Linked DNA regions of Xenopus tropicalis. The protein of the gene in region 1 purifies or fractionates together with the protein of each later gene. This does not show direct contact. Links are inferred from orthologs where the notes say so. Each region holds a gene or a part of one and is shown on either strand. Other genes may lie near its edges.

The links. The genes of interacting proteins can lie anywhere in the genome.
Region 2: the proteins of map4k1 (region 1) and nudc purify together in Homo sapiens (affinity purification with mass spectrometry; 3 studies listed by BioGRID and IntAct, with this or other methods). This does not show direct contact. The link is inferred for Xenopus tropicalis from reciprocal best matches to the Homo sapiens genes MAP4K1 and NUDC.

What each region holds. Positions count from the first base shown.
Region 1 is NC_030684.2:80,423,512-80,427,835, reverse strand, and holds part of map4k1 (mitogen-activated protein kinase kinase kinase kinase 1), read left to right. Parts: intron 1-2,015; coding exon 2,016-2,080; intron 2,081-3,403; coding exon 3,404-3,442; intron 3,443-4,206; coding exon 4,207-4,276; intron 4,277-4,324. UniProt on the Homo sapiens protein: Serine/threonine-protein kinase, which plays a role in the response to environmental stress. Appears to act upstream of the JUN N-terminal pathway.
Region 2 is NC_030678.2:77,784,935-77,789,698, forward strand, and holds the start of nudc (nuclear migration protein nudC), read left to right. Parts: upstream 1-1,499; 5' UTR 1,500-1,511; coding exon 1,512-1,592; intron 1,593-3,947; coding exon 3,948-4,025; intron 4,026-4,764. Other genes in the region: gpatch3 (G patch domain-containing protein 3), read right to left, coding at 781-1,090. UniProt on the Homo sapiens protein: Plays a role in neurogenesis and neuronal migration. Necessary for correct formation of mitotic spindles and chromosome separation during mitosis. Necessary for cytokinesis and cell proliferation.

The DNA.
Region 1 (4,324 bases):
GAGCAATGCAACTTTTTATGATATGTGCAATTCATCTATCCATGGGGATATATCATATTAATATTTCAGTAAGCCTCAGTTGCTCTTAGGAATAAAATAAACATGATTGTTCTACAGTTTACACACTGTGTGACTGGCAAAAACAGGAGAGGAACCTTAAGCATATAGGGGTGCAAAACTCCAAAAAGCACTTGCATCGGGCACATGCATGCACTTTGCATCTCACGCTGGATTAAAAATCCCTCCAGAGGTGCAGCTGCAGCGCATGGCAATCCAGTTTTTAGGATTCCTTTTAACACTGCACCCACAGCCACTCTATAACATCCAAACATGTAAATTATGTAGTGTACAAGTTAGGGGGCGGTAGACCCTCCATTCAGCAGTGTTGTATTCAGTAGGTGAGTTCAGGCCCTTGTGCTTCATTCTGTCCTTATCCTTGTACACCTATAGGCAGGGTGTTAGGCTGATGCCAGACGTGCCAGAATACGCTCGGGTGCAGGCACATGTAGCCGATATACGCATGAAAACGCGAGACTTTGCATTCTCACGCGTTTTCATGCGTATATCGGCTACATGTGCCTGCACCCGAGCGTATCTCATTCAATCTGAAAGCATTTTTCCGCTTGCCGAAAATATCAGCCCTACGTCTCGTGTGGCATCAGCCTTAAATGCAAAAAAACATGGTGGCTTGCACCTCTATTTTTAACTTGCATCCTGCCCTGCTGTGAGTAAAGAAGCTCACTGATTGTATAGGAGCAGGCACTCAATGAGCAATCATCCGCACATGCATGTAAAATCCAAAGCTGCCATTTTTTGTACAAACAGAAGCAGCCTTATGTATTTAATCATAAGCCTATGACTAAGGGGCACATTTACTAACCCAGAACGGGGCGAATGCGTCCGATTGCGTTTTTTTCGTAATGATCGGTATTTTGCGATTTTTTCGGAAAATTGTCTCGACTTTTTAGTTACCAATACGATTTGCGCGAAAAAACGCGAGTTTTTCATAGCCATTCCAAAAGTTGCGCAAAATGTTGCGATTTTTTCGTAGCGTTCGGATTCATTCAAGCTTCAGTATGGTGACTTTTCTTGGGCCAGGTTGGAGCTGCAGGGTGCCATTGAGTCCTATGGGAGGCTTCCAAAATCATGCTAAGTCTGAAAGTTTCGGCTGCCGCTTACGAACGCTCAATACGAAAAAGTCGCGACAAGATATGAGCGAATCGTAATGGCTACGAAAAACTCGCCTTTTTTCGCGATAATCGTATTGGTAACTAAAAAGTCACGACAATTTCCGAAAAGTCGTAAAGGCGCCGAAAAAAACCGCAAAAAATACGAAAAAGACGCAAAATGTTCGTTTTCCAATCGGAATTTTTCCAATTCGGATTCGAATTCGTGTCTTAGTAAATCAGCCCCTATGTGTTAATATAACACAAAACATATAAGGCTGGCCCTGTCTTACAAGCTTGTTTGGAGGATTGCTCAGTGAGTGCCTGCTCCTACACAGTTGGTTGATTCTGCTTCCCTAACTGAAGACTAAAGGTGCCCATACATGTGAAGGTGAGGTCGCCAAGAGAGCGGATCTTCCCACCTATGGGTATGCGATATCGGGGAAAAAGTAGGTTAATTCGCCCCCCCCCCCCCAGGGCCAAACGATCAAATTATAATGGTGGCAATGGGGCAATTGGTTTGGGGAACGCATCAGCTCGATCCGACTTAATCTTTTAACCTGCCCGATCAATATCTGGCCAATTTCAGGGCAGTCAGGCATGTTCCTCGTTCCTGCCCCTACACGGGCCGATAAGCTGCCAAATCGGTCCAAGGGACCGATATCGGCAGCTACAATCGGCCCGTGTATAGACACCTTTAGAGTGGTGCACCTGAGCCCTCTTTTGACTGGTTATTCTGTTGGGACTATTACCATCTTTTTTTTATCAGCATTGTCTTACAAAATGCTGTATATATGTGCTTATGTATGAATCTCCTGAACCTAAGCTATGTTATAATTTTATTTTTAGGATAAATTTCCTGGCATGGATTACGGCCTAAGGGTGAGACCGATCAGCCCAGCCTCCACAAGGAGGTGAGAGCAATTGTTTATTTTATTTCCAATACCCCCGGCCATGCTGGTGCAGGTTCATGCAACTTTAAAGTCATCATGTAATTATTGTAATACTAATTTTGTAGGTTATGTTAAATATTCTCTCTCTTTTTGTGCCCTAGTATCACAGGGTTCCGTAAAAGACTGGGAATTTTAAAGTGTTTAAAATTGTTGACTTGACAATGTAGCTGGAATCATTATTACTGAGGGTGATGTAAAGCAAACCCATTTGTCAAGTTGTTTCACATCTTATTTTAGCTGCTCTAAGGGTAATGCGCATGGCGAGATTTGTTTCCTCAGCAACAAATCTTCTGAATATGTTTTCCCACTACCAATAATGTCAGTCACCAGTGGGAAAACAAAAAAAGTTTCTTATAAATGCTTTTTCCTCTGTGTAATTTCCTGAGTTTGTTTTAAGAGTGTACATTTCCTTTAATCAAATTAGAGAACAAACCACCATTAACTGCTTTCTACACATAATCCTCTAACCGCTGTTCTTACCATTTACATGTAACAGCCCATAAATGAACAGACTTCAGTTTCTCCTGTAGTTCTTTAGGCAAAACCTTATATATATATGATATAGTATAGTAGATATAGTAGATATAGTAGATAAGTAGATGACATCTACTATAATCTACCTTTCCATCTTTCTAATTAATGAATACATACAAGGCAAGTTGATAACAAGTTGTTTATCAACCCCTTCTCCTTATAAATTGTAAAATCTATTGGCACTGCCCTCCTCACCTCTTGTATCAATTATTGGTTGCTTTATATGTTACTCTGTATGTCCAGTGTATAAACCCACTTATTGTACTGCGCTGTGGAATATGTTGGCGCTTTATAAATACATGTTAATAATAATAATAATAATAATACCAGACAGCATTTAGCTATTCCTCAGAAACAATTTTCATACTTTTCATTTAACCCAAGGCCCATATTTAGCCCATTTGAGAAACAAATCAATCAGTGTAGTTATTTTGCGGACAAACCACCATGTATATTTCTCTGCATTTATTCTTTTTTGTGATGGTCACTTAATGCAAGCAAGAATACAATACAGAGGAATAGCATTGTGGTGTGCCTACAAAATAAGCAACATGTACTGACAATATGCTGAATAAAATGACCTGCATGCTTTACCATGCACAATTGAGTATTCAATGTAAAGTGCAAATCAGGATCAGAATATAAATATCAGTCAGTTGGCTGGCTACATGGCCTGCAAGTCTAGCAAACAACAGTAATGGCTTTTGCTATGCATGTGCAGGAGTGTTAATCATCTCGTTTTCGTGTCAGCTTTTCAGATGAAGATGATGACTATGATGATGTTGACATGTAAGTTTTTTGAAGTCAAAGATAAGACAGGTGTATGTGGGCACCACAGGCTCATTCTATGATGGCAGCATATCTAGTTATTCTGGTATTAGGCTTACCACAGAATAGTTTAATGTGCTTTTTTAACCCAATGAAATAAAGCTAATTTATTTGGGTCTGGACATTTGGACAGCTGAGTGATCCAGTCAAATCACTCAACATGAGAAAAAGCGGAAGGGCCTTTACCCCCCACATGTGCATCCAAACAGGCAAGTCAAAGCAATGACCCTACAGAAGGGCTTGTCTTTTTAGTTTTTAATTTAAAGTATCAATAGCTTTCCATATAAATATACAGATTAAGCAGGCTGTGCATTGGTTTATACTGTCTGCCGGTGTGGCCACTTATGACAGTTTTTGTATGTCTGGCTGTCACTAAATTCATCTTTAAATCGGCTCCCTAGACCCCCCGGATGACTGATTACTGGCCTGGAGGACAAACAGTCGGATCAGCCCAAATTGGCCACCACTTGGGTAGACAAATCAGACACCAATAAAGAGGATCTGTCTATTTAGTGCCAGATTTATACATGGTTCTTAACATACTGGCTCATTGTTTATGTAATATATTTGTATTTACTCACCATTATATTAACATACTTAGCTGTCGAATTAATGGGAAAGCTATATTATACTGATATTTATGCCAGGTTTGTATTAACAGAATGTATATTGAGATTGTTATTGAAATAAAAACTTACCCTTGATCACATTATTTTTTTTACTAGCCCTCAAAATGTTGATCAAAGCAACGATACATCACCCACAGGGGATTCCCCTCCTCCACTGCCCCCCAAGGTGAGACTTGTAATCCCTTGAGTCTTCTTATTCTTAAAGAAGACCTAT
Region 2 (4,764 bases), on another chromosome or scaffold:
TACGTGTATGGCCACCTTTAGAGATTAGTCGCCCACGGTAACGAAGATTTGTTGCGGGGCGACTAATCTCCCCGTATGTCACTGCCCTTAGGGTGAGATATGGATAAATAAAACTTACTTGCTATCTAAATATGCCTGGAACAGTGGCTGAATGCCTGATGCACTGATATTTTAATTTATCTAAAACATTTTTATGAGCAGGGCCCTGACCAAAGGTTATACCTCCAAGGAGTCTTGAACTGAAAAAAAAAATCTGACAACCTTTCACTCATGTGTGATGTGTTCTGCAGGAGCGCTGCCAGAACAGAGACGACTGGTTCATCCCATGGCAAAGCTGCCAGTCTACATTTAAAATAGCTTCTGCATGGGCAGATTCAAAAACTGTAATGCCAATGACAACATTTAAAAAATCGAAAAATCACCAAGAAATGACACATATGGAAGATAGTAAAACTTAAAGAGGGTACACAGTCCTACACCCACCACAAAATATACTCTAGGGGGCAGAATTAACAATGAAACACATTCATTTGTGCCAGAAAATAGTGAGTGAATTTTAGTCAAGTCTGGGAAAAAAAAAGACAAGTCTCCTTGTGGAAATATGACAATGTTTCACAAAAGTACTGTATGTTATTACAGTGATAATGGTTGACTTGAGAGCGAGTGAAAGCAAAAGTCAACACAATGGTATGAAAACAGACATTTCCAATCGTTCAATATCACCCAGTTGCTCAGGCCCCTAAATCAATCACGGGGGTACCCTAACTTGTTTATTTGTACCTTCCATCGGACCAACACGAACTTTCCGAACCAAGCATCTACCAGGGACTTGATTTCCTTCCTTATCCAGCCACGGTTTCATATTGTACATTTCCAGGAAACTGCGGGATCGCTCCGGTTTGACGGTAACCGGACAACAGCAAGTACCCGAATTCTCTCCCCGCCGCTCTGGTCGGTGCCTGAAATGAAAACACACAAAGCCATCGCTCTCTGTGAACTGACTGAAATAGTGGCGAAGCTGGGCAGAGCGGAACGAACGAGGAATTCCATACACAACAAAAACAACTGAAGCACCACTTGGATCCGTCATCTTGGCAGTGGGGTAGTTCCGGTCTTTACTTTCCACCATCTTGCTACAGGAAATTACAGTCCATAACGCCCCGCCATCTTAGAAGAGGAAAACTACACCTAGTTTACCGGCACGTCACCACGTGGAGTGGTTAAAAACTACAATGGACTTAGTATATAATCGGCAAAAAGTAACATATTACAATAAATTATAAAACGTGTCCCAACTCTGGTATTCGGTACATGTTGTTTGTTGCGCATGCTCGACTGGTGCCCTATCTCTAAAACGCCATATATTCCAGAACCATCGTGTAGCTTGATTAATGTTGCTATAGCAACTCTAGCAGTGTAGATTTCTTTTCGCTGATTGGTTATAAGCTCCTGGAAGGGGCGGGGTTAGCGTAAGACCCGGTAGCAGTGCAGCATCTGGCGAACTGAGCAGCATGGCGGCCTCCGGAGAGGATGAACGATTTGATGCAATGTTGTTGGCTATGGCCCAGCAACATGAAGGAGGAGTGCAAGAGGTGAGAAATTATTTAAGGCAATGGTAATCCCTGTGTTTTAATTTATATTTTTCAAAATCACAGTTGTTACAGAAGTCAAAATATGTTCAAGTCGCTTTAAATGCTGCAAAAGTTGGCCAAGGCATAACTATTGCGTGCGTTTTTTTTCTTTTAAATGTAGCTTTCCTGCACACCCTTCATGTTGTAGGGCTTAAATATTGCTGTTCCTTAGGGAAATATACCAGAAATTGGATTTGATCTTACTCACTGAAGAGGAAGTCTCAAAACTGTTGTCTTCCTCTGACCTTACTACCTGCCTGCTTGATCCCATTCCTACCAAACTTCTACGTAATGCCAACCCCTGTCTTATCAAAGCCTTAACTCATCTATTCAATCTCTCACTCTTTACTGGAATCTTTCCCTCCCAACTGAAACATGCACTTGTAACCCCTATTCTGAAAAAACCCTCCCTTGATCCCTTCAATCCTACTAACCTCCGACCTATCTCTCTGCTCCCATTCATCTCCAAACTGCTTGAGCGCCTAGTCTACAACCGACTGACGCTATTCCTCTCTGACAATAACCTCCTGGATCCCCTACAATCTGGTTTTAGATAACAACACTCCACCGAAACTGCTCTAACCCAACGAACAAATTACCTCCTATCGGCTAAAGCCAAAGAACACTACTCGCTACTAATACTTCTCGATCTCTCTGCTGCTTTTGACACTGTGGATCACCCTCTTCTCCTCCAGACTCTCCGCTCTCTTGGCCTTCGTGACACAGCCTTATCCTGGTTTTCATCTTATCTCTCAGATCGATCCTTCAGTGTCTCTTACAATGGGGAATCATCTTCTCCCTTGCCTCTTTCTGTCGGGGTTCCCCAAGGCTCTGTCCTGGGCCCCTTACTATTTTCTCTCTATACCTCCTCACTTGGCAAATTAATCAATTCTTGTGGCTTTCAGTACCACCTCTCTTTCCTCTCCTGATCTCAACCCAGAGCTTCTAACTCGCGTCTCTTCCTGCCTGTCCGCTTGGATGTCCAAACATTACCTTAAATTAAACCTCTCTAAGACTGAATTGGTTCTCTTTCCCCCATCCAACGCCCACATTGTTCCCGAGGTATCTGTAACGGTTAACAATTCTACCATCACCCCATCTTCCCAGGCCCGGTGCCTTGGGGTTATCCTTGATTCTGCCCTCTCCTTCACTCCTCATATCCAATCACTTACCAAATCATGTCACTTTCACCTAAGAAATATTTCCAAAATACGATCATTTATCACCCAAGATGCTGCCAAAATTCTTATTCACTCTCTTATAATATCTCGCCTGGACTACTGTAACTCCCTGTTAATTGGCCTTCCCCTCCAAAGACTGTCCCCACTCCAGTCCATAATGAATACTGCTGCCAGGCTAATACACCTCTCCAATCGCTCCTTCTCTGCCATGCCAATCCCTGCACTTTCCCACTTTTTTTTTGCTCCTACAATAGAACTGCTGACCATTGCAATGAGATTCTACCAGGTTTTCCAGCCTCTTCCTTGGCCCATTTACAGAAAATAATCTCCTTTGATGTGCAGCGCAGTTGCTGATTCTGCTCCTGCCACTAACACGCTCTGCACTTACCTCCTTGGTGTCTGAGAGGGTCAATGGGGTGCTACATCGCTAGTGCAGAGATCGCTATTGTTCTCTCTGCATTAGAAAAAACAAATTTCCCTTTTAATAAACAAGATATTTGGCTGTTAAACATAATAGAGGCTGCTTTTTTAGTGTAAATCTTTCGCTTTAGAAGGAATGTAGCAACTTTAGAAAGATACAGGATATCCCTGACATAGGCCCTGTTATTTGTTGTTCATGTTGTGTTTCACCAACATCTGGGTATTTTTGTATGCTGTATATAGTTCATGGCTGAGTATGGTGTGCAAACTCATATATTCAATGGCACGCAAGTTAAGGCCCCCATACACAGGCCGATAGAAGCTGCCGATATCGGTCCCTTGGACAGACTCTGCAGCTTATCTGCCTGTGTAGGGGCAGAAACGAGCGGGCTGGCCGACCGATATCTGGCCTGAAATTGGGCAGATATCGACCGGCCGGGTTAGAAAATCCAGTCAGATCGGGGACCGCATCGGCTCGTTGATGCGGTCCCCGAACCGACTGCCCCATTGCCGCCTACATAATTATTATTATTATTTTTTTTTAACTTCAAGCTCCCCAATATCGCCCACCCGTGGGGATATCGGGGGAAGATCCGCTCGCTTGGCGATCTCGCCAAGCGAGCGGATCTTACCGTGTATGGGGACCTTTAGATTTTCAAATCATCTTCCTTTATTGCAGATCTAATTTCTTTGTTTTTTTTCTCTCCCTCTAAAGTTGGTAAACACATTCTTCAGTTTTCTGAGGCGCAAGACTGACTTCTTTGTTGGAGGAGAAAATGCTGCAGCTGAAAAGGTGAGAAAGAGCTGAACAGTTGTTCACCAAATTTTTGCAGAAATGCATTATATTCGTGTTGAAAGCAAGGTTACAAAAACAGATGAAGCCAGCTAATATGCTCTTTCAATATACAGTATGTTGGCTAACTCATCAATACACAGCATGTTAACTAGTTCAGTCTGTTCTTCATTAGGTTTCTTATCTGGCCTCCACATCTATGATTACATGTATACTCCTTGTTGACCTATAATTTTTTTCCAGATACTCAAGTTTGATACATTGTCATTTGTTTGATATACGATGTGACTAGTTAGTTGTTCCCTGGAGAATGTTTTTCTATGTATTCTTTTTTTTTTTTTTTTTCTAATTTCTGTTATAATCAGTTTGTTAGAACAGTTTCTCCACAGGGGGCAAACCTACATTATGGTTTGTTGATAAATGTGGCAGCAGATTCTCAGCAACACAATAATGTTGTGAGAAAAGCTGTTGATAAACAGGCTGATGCGAGTTGCCTACTCCAAATTGAGCTGAAAGCCTGTTGGTCTATGTATGGGCCATAACCATGGCCGGCCTGTTGTCTATTGGGCAGACTAGAAAATCCAAGGACAGCATTGGGCTTTTAATTTGATTGTTGTCACTGTGGGACAGTTGAATGGATAAACCCAACTGACCAAGTGGTCAGTTTCAGCAAAGGGTTTCCAAAATTTGTTTTTTCTCTACTTACATGTTTCTTTCCCTTTAATGCAGAGATATACTG